Linked DNA regions of Caenorhabditis elegans. The protein of the gene in region 2 purifies or fractionates together with the protein of the main gene of each other region. This does not show direct contact. Each region holds a gene or a part of one and is shown on either strand. Other genes may lie near its edges.

Region 1 (10,714 bases), on a different chromosome or scaffold from region 2:
CTGCAAGTTTTCATTTTCTCGAAGCTCAGTGGTTTTTCGGCAGAATGGGCACAGGATTTTGAAATTAGAGACTAATTTTGAAGAGCAGGCCTTGCAAATTGAGTGACCGCAAGCTGAAAAGTGACTTGCGAGTTTTGATGGTCTGTATGGCTAGTTAGTCAAGCCTAAGTCTCAGCCTAAGTCTACGCCAAAGCCTAATCCTAAGCTTAAGAATTAGCCTAAGCCTAATCCTAAGCTTAAGAATTAGCCTAAGCTAAGCCTTAGCCTAAGCTAATCCAGGCCATCCAAGTTTAGTTATACTCGGCATTTGGTCCGAAAAGTATTGACTTCGATCAGAATTTAGATAAACTTGGTCAAAAATTGGGCAAAATTTTGACATTTTTTGGATTTAGGCTTTAAGCGTAAGTTTAAGCCGACACAGCAAAAGTTTCGGGCCAACGTAACTTTTGGCGCAGCCTGAATGCAAGAATGGCCAAACTCTTGTTAAACTGTCCGGATCTAGTAAGATGATATTCTTGGGCTAATCATGGGCCTATTACATTTTAAATTTGGACGGAGCCCAACGCAACTTGGAACATTTTTTAGCGTAAGCTATGCAATAGTGGTCTCAAGTCAAAACTCACTCAAATTCTTGGGATGCCGATTTGTGATCACATTTGAATAGTCCTCGGTGCAAACTCCGCATTTCAGAAACGACATTTTTTTTTCGAATTTTGTTTATTTTACTGGCCAGTCGACAGAAATTAGAAAATGAAATTGAAACTACACTCTTATCAAGGTCGTTGCTTCCTCACTCGTGCTATTCTTTAGATAACCAATTCACATGTCAATTTCCCAAAATTCACTTGTTTGCTCCAATTTCTACTTGAAATTATTTCTAATATGAAAAAGGAGACCCTCGCTTTTTAGTAGTGACGTCACAACCCTATGACGTCATACCATATGGTAAAAAATTTGCGGAACAAAACCAAAACAAAAAACAATTTATTATAACAATTTTAATTCAATAATTCAACAATTAATTCCATAACGAGATCACCAATTTCTGAAAAAAAAACTCGTAAAAATCGGAACACAAAAGAAACATTTTCCAGAAAAATAACTCACTTTTTTTTAGGACGATGGTGCACAAGAGCAGAAATGAAAAAATAAAATTTTTTAAAAATTTGATATAATTGAAGAAGTAAGTTACTATGACGTGTCTGACGGTGGGAGTTGTAGCCGAGTCTGGAATACAGAAAAAAATATTAAGGATATTAGCAAGTTTTGCTCACCTTGAAACTTTTAAAATAAAAGTTTTTTTTTGCTCAAGCATTTATTCGACCTGTCGAGAATAATTAAAACCAGCAAAGTTTAGTAGAAATTAACATAAAATCAATAGTAGAGAAAAAAGGAGGGCGCACATTCCGTAGGCACCCAAAGGAGATGGAATGAGGAGAGCCGCGGAGCCAGCTCAGCGATAGAGCTCAGTTGCTATGGTGATCATAATCTTCTTGAGCATTATCTTGGTGAGCAAAAATATTAAAAAATAGCTACAGGCGCATGGTAACCATAGTGATAATCTGATAATCCTTCCGTCTCAGCGATTTTGAGTCAAATCTCTTGGAATCTTTACCCATGATATCACAAGCGGGTTTTTCAATCGCTCAGGGGTAAGCGGCAAATAATTTTTCCGGCCAAATTGGCCAAATGGCATATTGCCGGAATTGAAAACTTTTGGCAAATAGGCAAATCGGCAAATTGCTGCACTTGAAAATTTCCGGCAAATCGGCAAATCGGCAAATTGCCGGAATTTAAAACTAACTTACCAGTTTGCCGAATTTGCCGGAAAAACGGCAACTGTGGAACATTTTTTGCCAAATTGTGGTCTTGCACATTTTTTTGGAAGTTTCAGAATTTCAATTTTAATCGGTAAAATTGTACGCATCCTATGAATCTTCTTATATCTATTTTGAAATTGCCAAAATTGAAAATTTCCGGCAAATTGACGCAGTTGAAAATGTCTTCAAATCGGCAAACCGGAAAATTGCCGGAATTAAAAAATACCGATGAATTGGCAAACCAGCAAAATGCCGAAATTGATAATTTTCGGCAAATCGACAAACCGGCAAATTGCTGAAATTAAAAATTTCCGGCAATCGGCAAATTGCCAAAATTGAAAATCTCCAGCAAATTGCCGCATTTGAAAATTTCCGGCAAATCAGCAAACCGGCAAATTTGCCGATTTGCCGAATTTGTAGAAAAAAAACTCTGAAAAAGATTGGCCCATGTCTGTTCGCTTTTGAAGCGCAACAAAATCATCAATCACATTTTTATTTATGTACAAACATTTTCAATTAAATATCCTATAAAACCGTCGTTGGCATCAATCAGAGCAGCTAGCAGGTTGTCTGAAAAAAAAAACTTTTATATAAAAATTCATATTTCTCTCGTTAGCTTACCTCCTAGCCCTGCAAAATTCTTCAAACTCGCGAGACAAATTGTTGTCAATTCTAGAAACTTTCGTGACTTCTGAAAAATCCAATTTTTCCAATCAATATTTTTTCAAAGACCTACGTATGACAAGCCTATCCATCTCTGGAAAAATCAGTGCTGCGTCAAAAACTTCAGGCTCAACATCAGCAAATTCAGTCCAGAGCTCATTCTCGCTGCTCACTTCCAGCGCAGAATTCACCGCGAGCAAATCTGCATTGCTCATTTTCATAAACAGCTTCAGCTCCGCACTTTTTCGCTTTTGCCGGTTCAAGGATTCCGATAGCTCTGCGATGAGCAGGTCGTTCGTGAAAAAGTTAGTTTCCGCGATGTTCTGAAGCGTCGCAAGAGCATCGTTTTCGAGAGCATCCAAGGTTTCTCGTATTGAAGCGTAGAAGGCTATTATCGAAACCTTTTTCTCTTGAAATACCTCCCCATCGTCGAGATTTGTTAGCTGAGCTGTTCCGATCTTTTCGATATTCGCATCAATTTTACTTGCCAGGTCTTCGGATCTTGAAAGCTTCCCGCTCAGAAACTGTCTCAACTTTGCCGCTTCTGATTGTAGTAGGCCTCGATTGTGTCCGGCGTGAGCTCCAAACTCTTCGCAGGTACGGCACATGAGCTTATCGCTAGATGAGCAGGTGGGCTCCTGGAAAGAATGCTAGTTTCTCAGGCAAGAAGAGGTGCATTTGGCTCTAGCTTCTGGCCCAAGTTTGGCGCAAAAAATAATAACTTGTTTCAGACGTTGAGCAAAAGTTGGGCAAAACTTGGATTCAAACTCCACCAAAGTTTAAAAAAAGGTTCAACCAACTCTGCCAAACTTCTACATAAGTTTGAAACGAAATAAGAGAAGTTTGGGCCAAACCTTTGGTGCAGCCTGAATCCGAGTTTTGCCAAAGTTTTGCCCAAGTTTAGCAAACTTCTGATCCAAGCTAATATTTTTTGGGCAAAACTTGGCCAAGAATTTATAGCCAAATGCCGAGCTTGACCACAAAAGTTGAGCAAAATCTAGGCCAAGACTTTGGCCTGAACTAGGCTCCCACGTACCATTATTTTTTGGCTATTAACCTCGCACTCTCAGAAACCGGCGAGTTGTCGGCTGCTAATAGTAAGTTTTTTAAAAAATTTTTTACAGTTGACATTTTGGGGCCTATCAAAACCTATAAAGAACTCACAATGCACACAAATTCCGCAAAATTGTACTGGTGAGAAGCGCATTTTGGCGGTGAATCAATGGGATCTTTCTGAAAAATTTTATATTTGTATATAAATATATATATGTATATATAAATATATATATGTATATATATATATATATATATTTATATGTATAACTTTATTTCTAGAAAAAAAAACCTCTTCAGTTCTAGTCTTAGCGTGTTCAACTGCCTGTAACAATGCAAAATTCTTCTGCAAATCCTTCACTGTACTGACATTAGTTGCTTCCCGGCAGAATGGACATAAAATCATAGAGTTTTGGAGCAATTTTTCTGCACAACCATGGCAAATTGTGTGGCCACATCCTGAATTTTTATTTTTTAATTTTAGGAAAGGTAGCAAAAGCTTACTCAAAATCCTAGGAATATTTTCATCGGTGGCACTTGAGAAATCTTCGTTGCAAATTTCACACTCAATAAATGACATTTCGGAACTGTACGGAGGGTTGGAAAAATAAACGAATGGTCTTGGGAGTTCTCCCGCTGACACTGCGATAAGACGATAACAATTTGGTGACCAAGAATACACGGAAACCGGTAAATATTTTTTGCTGACTCATATCAGTTTAGATACACCATTTTCAACACTATTGCTAATTCTATGTGGTCAGTTACTACGGATTTCGTAATAGTTTTTCGTAAAATAAAACGTTTTCAGAGCCTGGCGCCTGCCTGAAACCTGCCGAGCACCTATAGCACTGTTTGTACGGGAGCGGGCTTATTTTAGAAAAATCGAAAAATCGAAAATTTTCGTTTTTTTTTTTGATTTTTCGAAATTTTTTTCTCTTATCAATAGAAAAAAAATTAGATAAAAATCGTATTTTATGATTAATTTTTAGATCATTTTTTTTTTCGATTTTTGGATTTTCCGGAAAATCGAAAAAACGTAAATTTTTGTTTTCCGATTTTCAAGTTTTCGAGACTTAGGCTTAGGCTTATGCTTAGGCTTTGATTTAGGCTTAGCCTTTGGCTTAGGATGAAGCTTAGGCTTAGACTTAAGCTTAAATGTAGGCTAGGCGGAGAAAAAAGAGATAAAAAATAAATCCTAGAAAATATGAGAACTCAGAAAAATAAAATACCAAAAAATTAGACATTTCAAAAATTTATATTGCCCGAAAAGGGCCAAAAAAATCAGGATTGGAGAGTTGAATTTTCGGTTGTTTATCGGTATTTGTACAAAGTAAAAAATGATTGAAAACTTTAAAACCAAAAAACTGCCTTGTTTGGAACATTCAAAGCCACAGGGTTATATTCTGAAATTCATGTACCTATAATACAAATGCTAAATTATCATTAAAACCTACATCTGGCTCCAGAGAGCTTGACATTGAAGCATTTGCCACATCTACAAAACTTCCTGACATTGATCTACCAACTTCCTTCCAAATCCACTTACCCACAGCTAACCTGTTCACTTCTGGAAAATTTAATGCTACATCAAACTGAATAGGCTCAACTTCTGTATTTTCCGAGTCATCCCAGAGCTGAATTTCTGAATTTAGAGCTAACAAATCCGCGTTGCTCATTCCCAGAAACGACTTTAATTTCTCGTTTTTCAATTTCTGGGTTTCCAGGGATTCCGACAATTCTTCTAGTAGTAATTTATTGCTAGCTGAATTGGATTCTGCAATTTCGCGTAGTTTTTGATTTGCAAGGGCTTCCTGGGCATCTAAGGTCTCTCGTATTGAGGTATAGTAGACGGATATCTGAAAATGTTCTGGAATTGTATTTCGTCCCCGTTTCAAAAAAAAATCACTAACCAAATCTTTTTTATCTTGAAACACCTTCCCATCTACTTGATTTGTTTGCTGGGCGCTGAAATTTCAGCGAGCTAAAATTGTGATCTACCGCTTTTTAAACTAACCTGTCAACCTCTTCAATGTTCTTGTCAATTTGAACAATCTGATCTTCGGACTTTAAAAGCTTATCTTTGAGCAACGTTCTCAATTTCAAAGCTTCCGTCTGTAGGAGGCCCTTCGAGTGTCCGGCGTGAACTCCAAACTCCTCGCAAGTTCGGCACATTAGCTTTTCGTCGGAGGAGCAGTTGGGGTCCTGGAAGGAGAATTAAGGAAGGTTCTCGAAGATTCCAGAATTTTTCTTAAATTTCCCAGAAGGTTCTAGATCATTCTAGAGTTTTTTTGAAAATTGCTAGAAGGTTCTAGAACATTCCAAAATTTTCTAAAATTTTCCAGAATGATCTAGAGCATTACAGAATTTTCTCGAATTTTCCAGAAGGTTCTAGAACATTCCAGAATTTTCTAAAATTTTCCAGAAGGTTCTAGAACATTCCAGAATTTTCTCGAATTTTCCAGAAGGTTCTAGAATATTCCAGAATTTTCTTGTATTTTCCAGAAGGTTCTAGACCATTCGGGAATTTTTTTTAATTGCTAGAAGTTTCTAAAACATTCCAGAATTTTCTCAAAATTTACAGAAGGTTCTAGACCATTCTAGAATTTTTTGAAATTTGCTAGAAGGTTCTAGAACATTCCAGAATTTTTTATAATTTTTTCAGAAGGTTCGAGAACATTCCAGAATTTTTTTGGAATTTTTAAGAAGGATCTAGAACATTCCGGAGATTTTTTTCTAGAAGTTTCCAGGTTTTTTTTTGAATTTTCTTAGATGTTCTAGAACATTCGGGAATTTTTTTTTAATTGCTAGAAGTTTCTAAAACATTCGGGAATTTTTTTAATTGCTAGAAGTTTCTAAAACATTCCAGAATTTTCCCAAATTTTCTAGAATGTTCTAAAACATTCCAGAATTTTTTCAAACCTTCCAGAAGGTTCTAGATCATTTCAGAGTTTTTTTGAATTTTCCAGAATATTCTAAAACATTTCAGAATTTTCCCGAATTATCCAGACAGTTCTAGTACATTCCAGAATTTTCTTGAATTTTCCAGAAAGTTCTAGACCATTCGGGAATTTTTTTTAATTGCTAGAAGTTTCTAAAACATTCCAGAATTTTTTTCAAATTTTCCAGATAAAAACTCACAAGACAAACGAACTCCGCCATATTATATTTATGGGTCGCGCATTTTGGCGGTACATCTGCTTCATCTTCCTGAAAAACTTTCTCATTAATTAAATTATCTAGTATATCGTACCTCTTCTACACGTTCAGTTTTCGTGTGTTCAATTATTTGCAGCAGTGCAAAATTCTTTTGCAGATCCTTTACCGCACTGACACTTGTTGTTTCCCGGCAGAATGGACAAGAAATCGCCGAGTTTTTTAGTAGTTTTGTCGCACAGCACTGACAAACCGAGTGGCCACATTCTGAATCATTTACCTATTTTTAGATTCAAGCTTCGTATTCGTATTTGACAGAAAAAAATATACTCACTCAAAATTCTTGGAACCTGATCTTCATTGACACTTGAGAACTCCAGATTGCAAATTTCACATTCGATAACTTTTGACATTTCTGGAGACTGGAGAATTTCGAGAAGAATCGGGGAAAAAACTAGAGAAACGACCGGGTGGCTGACTCCTTGTTGACACAAATTTCCAGTTGATAACGATTTTTACGGGCTCGTGAGAGTTACGCAAAAACTGATTGTAGTAGGTGGGCATGGTTTTGCCTAGGAAGTAGGCATAGGCGAGTAGGCGCCTGCCTGTCTACATATAGGTACCTTTGGCAAATGACATTTCAAGTTGTGTAGTAGGTATCGGTTTTGCAACTTATAATTGAGTTTGAAATGTAATTGAGTTTGTAATTGAGTTTGAATGTGTTATCTATTTTATGCTTATGACTCAAAAAGGATACAACTCGTATTTTTTAATGAATTATGAATCATACGAAATTCTTGAAAATACTCACTTTTTTCGTGCTTCACAAGGAATTATATAAATACTCTTACTAATCTATTTTGTTATCTAATGCTCCTTTAGTGACATGAAATGGCAATTTTTGAGTGTGAAGTTTGCAATGAAGATTATTCGAATTTAGATGAAAGTCGTGCTCCGCGAGTTTTAAGTGAGTTTTTTTTTGTAACTTCTGTAAAATATTTTCGAAAGTTTAGAATGTGGTCACTCGATTTGTCAGAACTGTGCAGTCAAACTAATCTCGAATTCTGTGATTTTGTGCCCAAAAAAGTGCTCTGAAACAACAGAGGTCCAAAATGGAAATGTGGAGAGCCTGCAGAAAAATTTTGGTCTGATGCAGGCTATGGAGATGATGGAAGCTAGTTCGAGTAACTCACCGCCAAAGTGCAAAGAGCATCGATATAATATTGCGGAGTTTTTGTGCAGTGTAGGTTAAGCTGATAAGCAACGAAAGTTTCATATAAATTTTTTGAAAGTGAAATTTATGGTTTTTTTTTGGGTATTTCTTAAAGTTTAATATCTGTAACACTACTGTTTTCAACTGAAAACACATAGTTGAATGTTCTTTTTGATAAGGAAAACATGGTAGGATATGAAAATTTCGAAAATTCTGAAATGTTTTAGAATATTCTGGAAAATTCAAGAAAATTCTGAAATGATCTAGAACCTTCTGGAAGGTTTGAGAAAATTTTGGAATGTTTTAGAACATTCTAGAAAATTCAAAAAAATTCTGGAATGTTCTAGAACCTTCTTGAAAATTTGGGAAAATTCTGGAATGTTTTAGAAACTTCTAGCAATTAAAAAAAAATTCCCGAATGTTCTAGAACATCTAAGAAAATTTTAAAAAAAACGTGGAAACTTCTAGAAAAAAATCTCTGTAATGTTCTAGATCCTTCTAAAAAATTCAAAAAAAATTCTGGAATGTTCTCGAACCTTCTGAAAAAATTATAGAAAATTCTGGAATGTTCTAGAATCTTCTAGCAAATTTTAAAAAAACACTACTGTTTTCAACTGAAAACACATAGTTGAATGTTCTTTTTAATAAGGAAAACATGGTAGAATATGAAAATTTCGAATTTTTTCAAAAGAAACTGAGACGAGCAAAAGTTAGCGCTAGTGGGAAAATGTTAGAAAAGACTCCTATGGAAAAATTTCAAAAATTTTTTAAAATGTTTTTTCTTGGCAAAACGTGGCAAAACTGAGAGTTTTCCAATTTTCAAAAATTTAGAAGTTAAAAAAAATTTAAACTATGATATTTGTGAATTTTGGAACCAGAGAAGTGGTTTTTAACAATTTTCCCACTGGCGCTACTCCATATTTAACTTCAAAAATTTTGTGTTCAAAATGCTTTAGATTATTTGAAAAATTGGAAAGAGTTGCGTGAAAATCAGTAATAAATTCTTAATTTCCAGGAGCACGACTGTCCCTCAATCGACAAACTAATGTGTAGGACTTGCGAGGAGTTTGGAGTTCATACAGGTCATACAAAAGTTTTGATGAGTGTAGAAGCTGGAAAAATTAGAGATGTACTGGAATGCAGGCTGAAACAGATGAAATTGAATGCTGAATCATTCACAGTGCAGCTAGAAGAATTTAGAGAGTAGGTTGAGAGATTAGAAGATATTTTGCAAATTTTCAATTTTTCAGAGCTATGTCAAATAGACAACTTTTTATTGAAAAGCTTTCGGAGGTAGGCTTTCAATTTTCGAAGTTATTTTTATAATAATATGGGCAATTGCAGATAAAATATCATTTCAGTAGAATCCGTCAATTGGTTGATGAAAGGGAAAAGAGGATTACAGATAAATTAACTTTTAATACGACAGAAATATACAAGTGCAATAAGGAAACTGAATCCAATATGAAACGTTTGCAGGATTGTCTTCTTGAGAAAATTGAGCAAACAACGAAGTTCTCAAAAATTAGTGATTATCAGTTACTCCAAGCCGACATTGATCTAGGAGGACTGACTTGGTACCATAGCCCTATTACTCAGAGTCGGTTTTTTTTCAATATTAAGATCAATAGTAATTTTAAAAAAATTCAGAATTCTCCCCGGCTGACACAAAGACTATGGATGTTAAACTACCAGCTTTCAAATTTGTGGTGAAAAAACAACAAAAGTTTGAATAAAATATTGTTATCTGGTTTTTTAGGAATCTTCTAAATTACTTTAATTAAAAAATTCAATATTCCTTAAAGGTGGACTACACCCAGTGGGGAAATTGCTTTAAAACACGCCTACGGTACCATAATGACCGAATATCATGATAAAAAAATTCAAAAAAATTTCCCTGATTTTATATGATTTTTTGAAAATTGAAAAAATCTCAGTTTTCCCCTAATTCCTATTTGAATTTCCGCCAATTGAACTCGTTCGTTGGAGCGCGATTGCATTATTTTCATTAATTATTTTTATTTATTTTCATTATTTCACTTATTTTCTTCATTTTTGGGGTTTTTTAATCGGAAATTGAACGAAATATACAAGAAAAATGCAAATAGTTCATGAAAAAATCACTGAAATTGTGTAAAACTCTGAAATTATGTGATACGACGACGACGAGCCTGAAATTAGTATATTTTACAGTTTTACACAATTTCAGTGATTTTTTCATGAACTATTTGCATTTTTCTTGTATATTTCTTTTATTTTCGCTCCGCCGAACGAGTCCAATTGGCGGAAATTCAAATAGGAATTAGGGGAAAACTGAGATTTTTTCAATTTTCAAAAAATCATATAAAATCAGGGAAATTTTTTTGAATTTTTTTATCATGATATTCGGTCATTGTGGTACCATAGGCATATTTTAAAACAGTTTCCCCACATGGTGTAGTCCACCTTTAAGTTTAGATCGGTTTATTATCTTCAAATAAACAAATGAATTATTCGCAAATATTTAACATCCAGTTGGTTCATAGCTGCATATGAATTGTGTAATGTTTTGGCTGAAAAAAAATGTTTCAAAATTATAAAGATCTATAGCAAATCCATCGTGCCTTCACGATAGAGGTAACTCGGTGAAAAACTTGTATTTTTAAGACCAGACCATATCAGTCCGCAGTGGGACTTTGTATGCTAAGCCTGTTTTGTTGAGAACAGGATAAAAAACTCACACTTTTCCACCTCCTGTTGACCAAAATCCGGTGTCTTCACATTTGAAATTTTGAGTGAACAATGGTACGGGAAGTTGTGGTGGGCCTAT
Region 2 (10,714 bases):
GCAAATCCGGCAGTTTTCAACTGTTTATCTTTGAAATTTTTAGACAATTGCCGCTTTTAAAGGTCCTATATTTTTTGAGAATTTTCTGATTTTTTTATTATTTTTTCCAACAAAAAAAACCGAAAAATAGTTTTTTGAAACAAAAATTTTCAATTCTTCTGTCGAAAAATTGAGAAAATTGTCTAAAACAATAAAAGTAATGTTTTCTATGAAAAATCAAAGTTTTTCAAAGATTTTCTCCGAAAAAAAACAATTTTTCAGCGAAAATTTTTGAATTTTTCGAAAATCGGAGGAAAAACAGGAGGAAATTTACTTTTTAAAAAAATTTCTAGAAGCTTTTTAAAAATTGAGGTATTTTTCAACTAAATATGCATGTACAAATTTCTAGGTTTTTCAATTTTCAATTTTTTTTCGAAATTTTTAAACATTTTACTTTTTTTTTGAAATTTTTTATTTTTTCCAACAAAAAAAAACCGAAAAATCTTTTTTTTCTAATCAAAATTTTTCAATTTTTTGGTCTGAGAAAAATTGAGAAAACTGTCGATTTTTCTGCTTTTTCAGGAAATTATCAATGAGTTTTGGGCACTTTTTTCCTCTTAAAATATAGCAAATTTGAACTTTTTCGTGGTTTTTTAAATTAAAAAAAATTCTCTTCAAAATCGGGTTTTAGAGCAATATTTTATACTTCCAAAATTCCACCAAAAAACGCACAAGAAACGAGATAATCGACGACTTTGAATCGATTTTCCCAATTCTCATAAGTAGAAGCTCGCCGTGAAAGTGAGCTCAACGATGGAAAGAACTTTGGAATTCCTCTCCAATCAGAAATATCCGAATATGAAGAGAAACTGTCGATATCCTTATCGATTTGTTCGGATGGAATATTATTGTCAGCTTCGGCGATGATTTCCGTGATACTTTTGAAGCCACTGAAAAAAAAAATTTGAAAATTTAGAGTTTTTGACAGGAAAAAAACAGCCTTTTTCTCGGTTTTTCAGGAGAAATTTGAAGAAATTTGTGATTTTTTTTTCATATTTTGTTTTAAAAAATTCCGATTTACTTCTGCATTTTCTGTGGAAATTTAAAAAAATTATTTTTGATTGAGGAAAAATGGAAAAAAAACTGATTTTTCGGTTTTTGAAATGAATTTCAAAAAAAAAAACGGAAAAATCCATGGTTTTTCTTTTTTTTCTAGAAAACGGTGCATATTTATTAAACTTCACAGGAAAAATTCTTTATTTTACTTTTTTTTCTAGAAAATTCCATAAAAGGTTCTGTAAAAAATTATATATTAGTTTTAAATGAAATTAAATGAAAATTATGGGTTTTTCAGTGAAGAAAGCATCGAAATTATTGCAATTTGCAGAGAAATTTCAGTAAAAATTGAGAAAAATATATCTAAATCTGGAGTTTAATTGAAATTTTTGAAATTTGATATTAAATTTTTTTTTTTGAAATTATCGGAAAAAATTAAGTTTTTTATCGAATTTTAAACTGATTTTTTTAGTTTTTTATGTGAAAATTGTGCACGAAATCTGATTTTTCTCACGAAAAAAAAAACTGAAAAATCTATAATTTTCCAACTGAAATTCTCAACCTCAATCCATCATTATTCCGTGTCGGCTGCTGCTGCTGTTGCTGGCTCGTCGAGCCAAAATCCATATCCTCATCTTCATCTGAAGTCGGTGGTGACGGTGTAGTGACAACGCGTTGTTTTCTCGGCATTTGTTAGGGGAAAAGCCTGTAGAAGGGGGAAATTAGTTTTTAAAAAATAATAACAAATCAGTGATATTTCTAAGCGAGCAAGTGAGCACTAGAATAAATTCAATAAAAGAAAAAACAATTAAAAGTTTAAAAATTAAAATATTTACAAAATTCTTCATTTCATTTTAATTTCAAATCATAAAATATTCTTCAGCGGAGGATTGAGAGAGAAATCGGATGGAGTGGGGGAGTTGTTTTGTATATTTCCGCATTCAAACCCCGGAAAATTCCGAAAAAAAAACACAATTTCCAGATTTTTCTAAGTTTTAAACGCGGAATTCTTGATATCATATACATATTATTACATGATGAATGACTCGATAACACATTTAGGATCAGTAGTACATTGATCCGGATCGAATTGTGATTCAAAAACACGAATCTGATTGTCTCGACAACGAACTGCAGCCGGAAGATATCGACAATTATGGAAAATCAGAAATTCCAGCGACATTCGATCTTTGAATTTGTCGGCGATCAATGCGATGCCACCGTATCGGGATCCACTGCAAAAAAAATCAATTTTTCGATTTTTCGAAAAATATATATATAAAGCTTTATTATGTTTTTTCATCAACAGATACAAAATTTTATGAAAAATTTCATTTTTTTCGAACTTTCGATGTTCAATTTTTCAATTATTTAAATATAAATATGCTGCTCTGAATGGAATAATAAATCTACTTACTGTTCCATTTTTTCGTGTATGAATTCTCGAATAATCTCACTGTACATGATACCCTCCTCGTCGTCTCTGAAAGAAACAAAATTGATGCGTTGTTGTTATGGTAACTAGGGTCTCGCAGCGATTTATCTCTTTTTTTTTAGTCGTAAAATCTTTTTTAATATTAAATTTTCTTTTTTTTACAATTTTTAAAGCTATTTGTAAGGGAAATAATTTAAAAATTGTTAATTTATCAATTGTTTGCCGATTTTAAGAGAAAAAAGTTTAGAAACAGTCAAAAATTACATTTTTGTGCTACATTTTCAAGAAAAACGGTAAAAAACTTGGATTTGCAGTTTGTTTCAGATCACAAATATATGAAAATCTCGAATTTTGAGCTATTTTTTGCAGAAAATAGATAGGAAATTGTGGATTTTTGTGCTAATTTTGAGAGAAAATTGCCTTTGTAAAATTGTAATCGCTAAAAACGTCCCAATTTATGCAATTTCTACAGAAAATGGTCCTGAACGCGCAAAATCCCCGAATTTTAAGCAACTTTTTTAAAAAGAAAACTGGTCAGAATTTCCAAAAATTATAGATTTTTGTGCTAATTGTTCGAAAAAAGATTCAAAAATCATCAAAATTGTGGATTTTCATGCTGATTTACATCTAAAACTGCTCAGTTTTAAGTTATTTCTACGGAAAATGATCCAGTGCGCGCAAAATCTCCAAATTTTCAATAATTTCCCAAACTTACAGCACTCTCGTGGCGATACCCCTGCAGAAATCGGCTTTCACAAGTGATTCACCGTGTCCTGTCGAACAAATCGAGATGGTTCGTTCACTGACTTGATCAAATGGTTCTTCGTATTGCCTTCGTTCAGACCATGTTCCACTTCCATATACACAGCTGTGACCAAGCCGTCCCGAGTGTTTTAGCACAATTCCACCGCTTGAAGTACCGGATTCTGAGTTCATTGTCTGCAAAAAAGACATTTTTCGTGGCGAAAATTGGAAAAATACGAAATTTTGATAGAATTCAGGGGGAAAAACTTTTGAAAATCGATTTTTTTTTTGCAAACCAAATTGGCATTTTACTGAAAAGTGGTAATTTTTTATTTGAAAACCGTTTTTTTTTTTCAGAGAAATTTAGACCCAAAACCGGCTAAAATAGAGGAAATTCGAGATTTTTATAGAATTTTGCCAAAATGGAGTTGACAATCTGGTTTTTTAAACTCGTATTTCGATCGAAATAGCTTTTATACGTGTGATTTGCCGGAGAAATGCTAATTTTCAATTTTAAAACCTGTTTGTTCCGGGAAAAATGAAAATTCCACAAGGAAACGTAGAATTTTGATAGAACTTTGGTGGAAAATAGATTTAAAAATGGGATTTTCCACCTTTTTTCTTCAGAAACTCACATTGAAACTGCTTTTTTTTCATAGAAATATAAAGGAAAATGCTATTTTTCGATTAAAAAACTTTTTTTTTGTGGCCAATTCTGGATCGAAAACGCGAAATTTGCATCGAAATTCGGCGAAAATTTTTTTTTAATCGGATTTTTCAGCGTTTTCACAGAATTCAGCCTAAATAGCTTTTTTACGTAAGAATTTAACGGAAAATACGAATTTTTCATTTTGAAAAATCGGACTTTTTGGTCAAAAAGTAGTTAAAAATATATTTTTCGGATTATTCTTGGAGTTTAATAGAAGAAATGCTAATTTTCGACTAAAAAAACGGTTTTTGTGGACAATTAGGCAAAATCTGAGTCAAAAGGGCGGAATTTGCATTGAAATTCGGTTTTTTCTAGCAAAATATTAATGAAAATGCCATTTTTTCGAAAAAGGCTTTTTTTTTCGGGAACTCTGAAATTTCTTGGGATCTGATAGAAGAAATGCGCTAATTTTTCATATTTTGAACACATTTCCCTGAGAAAAGGAACCAATCTCGAATTTTCCTTCATCCTTACATTGGTATTAATTGAAATAGCTCCTACAGTGTCATGTGTATCATATGGATGAAGCATTCGATGTAAATACTTCTCAAAGCTCTCTTTCGCCGCTTTTGATACGAGTTCTTCAGGTGTACACGTTGGAAAATCTGAAAATCCAATGATTTTTCGAGATTTAAAATTCAAAATTCAGAAATTTACCATTTTTAACAGCATATTTCTCTGCTCCACGACCAACAAGAATAAGGGGATGAAGAAGACGTCGCTGCTTCCACCAATTGCTATGTGCAAGGTGACGTGCCACTCGGGACGGATGGAAAACGTTGGAAATCGCGCCGACCGCGCCGAAACTGAATTTGAAAATAATCGGTAAGGGAGAAATGTATGGTTTTTAGGGAAACCTTAAATTTTTGGATGACATATATGATGCTTCACATTCAACTTCTTGATCGATAGTCAAATGTGAGCCGAATCCACAGTTGAACTTTTCTATTCTTTCAAGATCCTGCAAAAAAAATTAAATATATTTCGTGAGAAAACCAAAAAAGAATTCCTCACCGTCAACGCATTCTCAACAGTGCCTGTACCACACGCAAAACGGCAGTCCTCGGCAAGACTTGCGTCGAATTTAGCACACGCACCTGCAAGATTTAAATTTTGCCGCAAAAAATCGATAATTAGTGTGCGCAAACCTCCGTGCACCGCGATTATCTCGCAGTTGCTCATTTTTTGAGGTTTTCTTCGAGTAGAACTCCACTGAATCGATGTTTCAGAAGGATTTTATTATCTCCGGCCACCAGGACGGGAATGTCGTATTTGAATTTCTGAAAATTAGGAATTTAAACTACCTATTTTTAAATTTTCTGTATTTATATTTTTATTAAATGAGAAAATAGAATACAAAACAAAAAAAACGTAGACGTAGAAGAAAGTCTCACTTCAATTAGCTCTGGCGATTCTTGGGCGAGATTTTTCTCGACGACAACAATCCCGGGATGCTTTTTAAGATAGTTTTTGAGTTGTCTGTGAAAATGTACGCACAGCGAGCAGTTTTGCGATGAGAAAAGCACGAGTTCGACGGGTTTGGACGAGGAGAAGGAGCGCTGCAAAGCACGAGGAAATGTGATCATTTGAATTGGCGTCAAAATCACATGGTAAAACTAGGCCGCGCATGACCTGAGCACGAGACACTCTCTCGGCCATTTTCAAGTTGGCGCGCTGTGTCACACACTCCGGTGGAGCGTGTTGTGGCGGAGTGTATGAGAAGTGTGCGAGTGGTTTGCGTTCGGCGCACTCCGCCCACTTTTTCCGTGCCGCACGCGGGTCTTTCGAATTTTATCGATTTTTTAAAAGTGTTTTTTTAGTTTATTTTTGTTTTTGACGAATTTATGAGGGATTTCTTGCGATTTTGGATTTTAAATAAAGAAATAGGTTTAAATATAAAAAATATCTTTAGATAAAGTATTCCTAATCGATGAAACAAGTGGAGTCAAGGAAATCTCTAGTTTTTCCTTCTAAATACTCGAAGCAAGCCAAAATGAACGAATTTTGTGATAAGATTTCTTTTAAATTGTTCAAAAATTGTTATTCTGTTCAAAATCAGGTGTTGGAAATTAATTGATTTTGGCTGAGAAATCGTTATTTGGAGAGTTTGAACAGTAAATTGAACTCTTTTTTTTCTACAGAAATATCTCTGAAATTCGGATGCAAAAACCTTTTTTCTTTTAAGAAGCCTAGTGTTATCCCTATGCATCTCGAAAAACTTCTCAAAAATTCCTGATGTTTGAATTCGAAAAATCGATTTCCGATACTTCCAATATTATTTTCTACGAAATCGTCATTTAAATAGTTAAAATGCAGTATTTCCGTCGTTAAAATATTGTTTTCGGCCAATTTGGAGGAAAATTTTCAATCAACACACTAACCTTTTCTTTGGAAATCTAAAAAAAACTCTAGATTTCCATATTTAGCTCAATGCTCTCCAACCTGCTCCGTACAACTTCTCGTAACCTTTCCACCCCTCCAGTCGTGAAAGTTCTCTCCCTAGATGCTCGTGATACACTAATCACGATGAAAGAGTCTCCACCGATAGTTTATTCCCGTTTCGCGAGGCAATATGATTTGGAAGTCGACTCCGATCAAATCATGGGAAGCTTTCTTAAAAATTATAAACGAATGAGCATCGCATCGCCCTGCTTTGGGTTCAATGGAATTGGAAACAAAAGTTGGTGGATTGAAGTAGTTTCTTCTACGCTTTTGGATGTAGGTGTAATCTGAATTAGGCAAGTCCCCTACTTGATAGTTTCAGTGTGCTCCGGATTCTGAAAAAGGACGGGTTGAAGTGATCGCTGGAGCTTTGTACAATCACTATGCAACTCCTGAGCCGTGGAAACTAGTTGAAAGCGATGTAAATTTTGTGAATTGTTGAAAAAAAAATACTGCAATTTTTCATTTTAGACGCGCCAAACTCTGCAAAAACTTCGCCTGAAAGGAATCATCCTGGTTGTCATCTCCAATTTCGATAGTCGCTTGAAATCTCTACTTTCTCAATTCAATTTACTCGATCTTTTCTCCATGACAGTTCTCTCCGGCGAAATTGGGTACGAAAAGCCCGATGAGAAGATCTTCCAGCTAGTTGTCAACCATTTCGATCTAATTTCTCCCTCGGAAATCTTGCACATTGGAGACAATTTGAAAAATGATTTCCATGGCGCCAAAAATTTCGGCTGTAGAGCTCTATTGTTTGATTCATCTTCCTCTCATAATGTTGAACCGTTTTATTGTATTTCTCGTTTGTCAGATTTGAAGCTTTATTAATTAATTGAATTTAATAAATAGTTTTAATTTTTCAGATAATGGATCTCTTCCGAAAACCGAAAAAGCGCAATGCACCCGTCGTTCGTAAAAAGGAAAGCTCAAGTGATGAGGATCAAGATTCAGAAGTGAAGGATGTGATTCAAAAGCGACGTCGTACGAATCCGATGGTCCAGTCGGTGAGATCTTGGTACTTTAGTGCTCCAAAATTTTGGAAAATCCCAATAAACTTTGAAATTCAGACCAAACAACTAGACGCCTCAACACGACGTGCTGATAATTCATCGGATGATTCTGACGACTCTGACGACAATCAGGATATCGCAGTAGCAACTCACTCGTTCGCCGCTTCAGGAGATGCCGGTCCATCTGGACCACGTGATCAAGGTGCCACTGCAACACTCGAAGTGGACACAGACTATTCACACGATGCCCAGGCTCAATTCGAACGAGTCCAACAGCAACTGAAGGAAGGCGTCGAGAAAGACGGAAAAATTCTGTACAAGGGAAGTGCACTGTATGGAGCCAAAGAGGCGAAGGATACGGCCAAGGGAAACGCTGCAAGTGGTTATAATCGAGTTGGGCCCGTTCGGGCGCCACAATTTCTACGACAAACAGTCCGTTGGGATTTTGCACCGGATATTTGCAAGGATTACAAGGAGACTGGATTCTGTACGTTTGGAGATTCGTGTAAATTTGTGCACGACCGATCGGACTATAAACACGGATGGGAGATTGATGAGGAGTACGAAGCAGGAAAATATGGTGCTGAAGACGATGCGAATTACGAGATTCATGAAGGCGACGATACGTTTCCGGAGGATTGTTTTATTTGCGGAAATCCATTTGTTGATCCGATCGTGACAAAATGCAAGCACTACTTTTGCACCGGTTGTGCGTTGAAATCGTTCCAAAAGTCGTCAAAATGCCCAATATGTCAGCAGAATACTGAGAATATTATGAATACCGCAAAAGGTTTGAAATAGAACGATTAATTCGTGATTTTCGCAAGTTTTGGAAGGTTTTTCGGCGCAGTTTGATACTTACATGTTACGGAGGATACTGCACGTGGACAAGCGTGAATCTTTTTTCACATTTTTTGGACAATAATAAGACATTATAACTAGAAAGAGAGGAGGAGCCTAATTTCGCAACTCTGCGGCACGATTTTTCGACAATTTTCCACTGTTTTTTTTTTTGGTTTTTTTTCTGGTTTTTTTTTCCAAAAAACTTCGATTCTTCCTGTTTTATTTTTTTTTACGAGAAAAAAATCAAATTTAATTCGCATAACATTTCGATTATAGTTCATATTTTTACAACCAATTTAGCTTGAAATATCCTCCCAATCTAATGTGAATTAAAAGGAATAAAATCGAAACTTTTATGGAAAAACCCCAAAAAAGAAAAAGGAAAACCGTGCCGCATGGTTGCAAAATTGGTTGCAAAATTACGTTCCGCCTCTTTTTCTGCTTTTTGGAAAACTCATTTCTTTGGTAATTTGGAATGTTGGAAGAGAATCAGCGAAAATAGTTCAAAAAAGTAAATTTCAGCCAATAACTCACAGTTGTCCGGGTGAAGTACAAAATCCTTCGTAAATTTACATGCAACAAACCGCGCTTTTAATCCAAAACTTGCGAAATTCACAAGATAGTAGCTCGAAAAATGTGGCAAAAAAAAATTAATTTTTAAATTTTCAGAGCTCCTAACCTACCTGAAACGGAAGAAGCAACAACAGAAGCAAGAAGCCGAGAAACAGGAAGAAGAAAAAGATAGTGACGATGATGAAAAACCACACGAATGCGACGATCACCATCATCATGATCACGAAGATGAGCCCGAGGAGCCTGAAAACGACTCAAATGTTCCAGAAGCCGAGGAGAAGAGCGATGAGGAACAGGAGATTATGATGGAGGATGTGGAAGGGCTTGAAGGTGGAGAAAATGACTCTGAGAGTGATGATGATGATGCTGAAAAAGATTGATAATTTTTATTTTTTTTTTAAATATTTCTGTACGGTGATTGTCTGTGAGTAAACTAAATATGATTTTTTTTCTTGTTCGAGCCTTTTTTTAATTTCAAGATATTGTTCGAATCTTTATTCCATATTTTTTCTATGTTTTTTCAGATTTCTCCCATTTTAGCTCAAATTTATTTCAGCAATTTCAAAAATGTCGAGCAAATCAACAAAGCGAGCAAAAATCGAAGATCCGGTATGGAACGGCGAAAAAACCAAAAAATCTATTTTTACAACAAAAAAAACTAAAAAATACAATTTTGCAACGAAAAAAAACCAAAAAACAGTCCATTTTGCAAAAAAACAATAAATCAATTTTTGCACTAAAAAAAATATTTTAAAAAAACAATTTTGCAACAAAAAATCTATTTTTGCATAAAAAATCCAATTTTGCTAGAAACAAAGCGACAGTATAAGTTCCCCGACAAAGAAAAAAAAAGTCACATTTTATTCAAAAATCTGATTTCCAGAAGGACAACGTGTTCATGGTGGAAAAAGTGCTGGACAAGCGAACTGGAAAAGCCGGCAGAGACGAATTTCTCATACAGTGGCAAGGATTCCCCGAGTCTGACTCTAGCTGGGAGCCGAGAGAGAATCTCCAGTGCGTCGAGATGTTGGACGAGTTTGAGAGGGAATTTTCAAAGGTTTTGAAGAATTTTTTAAAGTTTATTTTACTTGAAATGGTCCTAAAAAGCGAATTTCATAGTGAAAATTGTTTGAAAAATCTTCGATTTTGCCCACTTTTCCGTGCTGCAACTGTTTAAATTAGATTTTTGTTCGATTATTCTCCTATTTTCACACGGAAAAGCTGGTAAACTTGAAGATTTTAACTAAAATTAGGTTTTTTAGAGTTAAAATTACAAAGTCATAAAATCCGATTTTTCTGCAACAAACTTATTTTATTTTTACAGAGAGAGAAACCAATTCGCAAACGACACAGCCAGAAGCCCGAACCTTCCGAAGATCAAGCGGATCCAGAAGAGGATAAAGATGAAAAGAAGGAAACGAATCAAAATGACAAATTCTCACTGGAAGGCAAGCAGTTAAAATGCATTGTCGGGCTCACCAAGGGACCTGGGGAACTTCATTTTCTGTGCAAATTCAGTGATGACACGGCACGGCTTCTTCCAGCGAAGGAGGTGAACAGTCGGTGAGTTTGGGAATTGCTCCCGGTTGATTAAAAGTGTATTACGGAAACACTCCACCCAAAAACTTTAAAAGTATCCGAAAAAAAATATTACGGGAACACAAAATTCTGAGAATGCGTATTGCGCAACATATTTGACGCGCAAAATATCTCGTAGCGAAAACTACAGTCATTCTTTAAATGACTACTGTAGTGTCGATTTACGGGCTCGAGTTTTGAAATGGATTTTTGTTCAAATAGTGGCATTTTTGCTTAATTTTAATATTCTATCGGTAAATCAAAAAAATATGATTTCGAAAATAGAGCCCGTAAATCGACACAGGCACTACAGAATTTACTGTATTTACTGTACTGTAGTTT

What was found. Proteins that work in one complex are often made in the same cells at the same time.
Region 1: the proteins of tasp-1 (region 2) and F43C11.8 fractionate together in Caenorhabditis elegans (co-fractionation; one large-scale study listed by BioGRID). This does not show direct contact.

What each region holds. Positions count from the first base shown.
Region 1 is NC_003280.10:2,325,922-2,336,635, reverse strand, and holds F43C11.8 (RING-type domain-containing protein), read right to left. Parts: upstream 4,117-10,714; coding exon 4,041-4,116; intron 3,996-4,040; coding exon 3,829-3,995; intron 3,717-3,828; coding exon 3,648-3,716; intron 3,122-3,647; coding exon 2,557-3,121; intron 2,512-2,556; coding exon 2,442-2,511; intron 2,391-2,441; coding exon 2,366-2,390; 3' UTR 2,298-2,365; downstream 1-2,297. Other genes in the region: F43C11.7 (RING-type domain-containing protein), read right to left, coding at 1-113, 624-699; ZK1240.1 (RING-type domain-containing protein), read right to left, coding at 4,922-4,942, 4,994-5,034, 5,086-5,395, 5,450-5,504, 5,554-5,741, 6,678-6,746, 6,790-6,959, 7,027-7,105; ZK1240.8 (RING-type domain-containing protein), read left to right, coding at 7,584-7,659, 7,706-7,935, 8,921-9,108, 9,156-9,198, 9,250-9,505, 9,556-9,641; ZK1240.11 (uncharacterized protein), read right to left, coding at 10,711-10,714.
Region 2 is NC_003281.10:10,754,158-10,764,871, reverse strand, and holds tasp-1 (TASPase homolog), read right to left. Parts: upstream 5,488-10,714; 5' UTR 5,318-5,487; intron 5,204-5,317; 5' UTR 5,106-5,203; coding exon 5,072-5,105; intron 5,021-5,071; coding exon 4,938-5,020; intron 4,885-4,937; coding exon 4,781-4,884; intron 4,730-4,780; coding exon 4,581-4,729; intron 4,529-4,580; coding exon 4,398-4,528; intron 3,410-4,397; coding exon 3,186-3,409; intron 2,519-3,185; coding exon 2,453-2,518; intron 2,271-2,452; coding exon 2,066-2,270; 3' UTR 1,866-2,065; downstream 1-1,865. Other genes in the region: dpy-28 (Condensin complex subunit 1), read right to left, coding at 712-929, 1,598-1,725; K01G5.10 (Haloacid dehalogenase-like hydrolase domain-containing protein 3), read left to right, coding at 6,354-6,641, 6,688-6,786, 6,837-7,196; rnf-113 (putative E3 ubiquitin-protein ligase rnf113), read left to right, coding at 7,235-7,372, 7,436-8,168, 8,891-9,174; Chromobox protein homolog hpl-2, read left to right, coding at 9,362-9,403, 9,678-9,851, 10,119-10,357.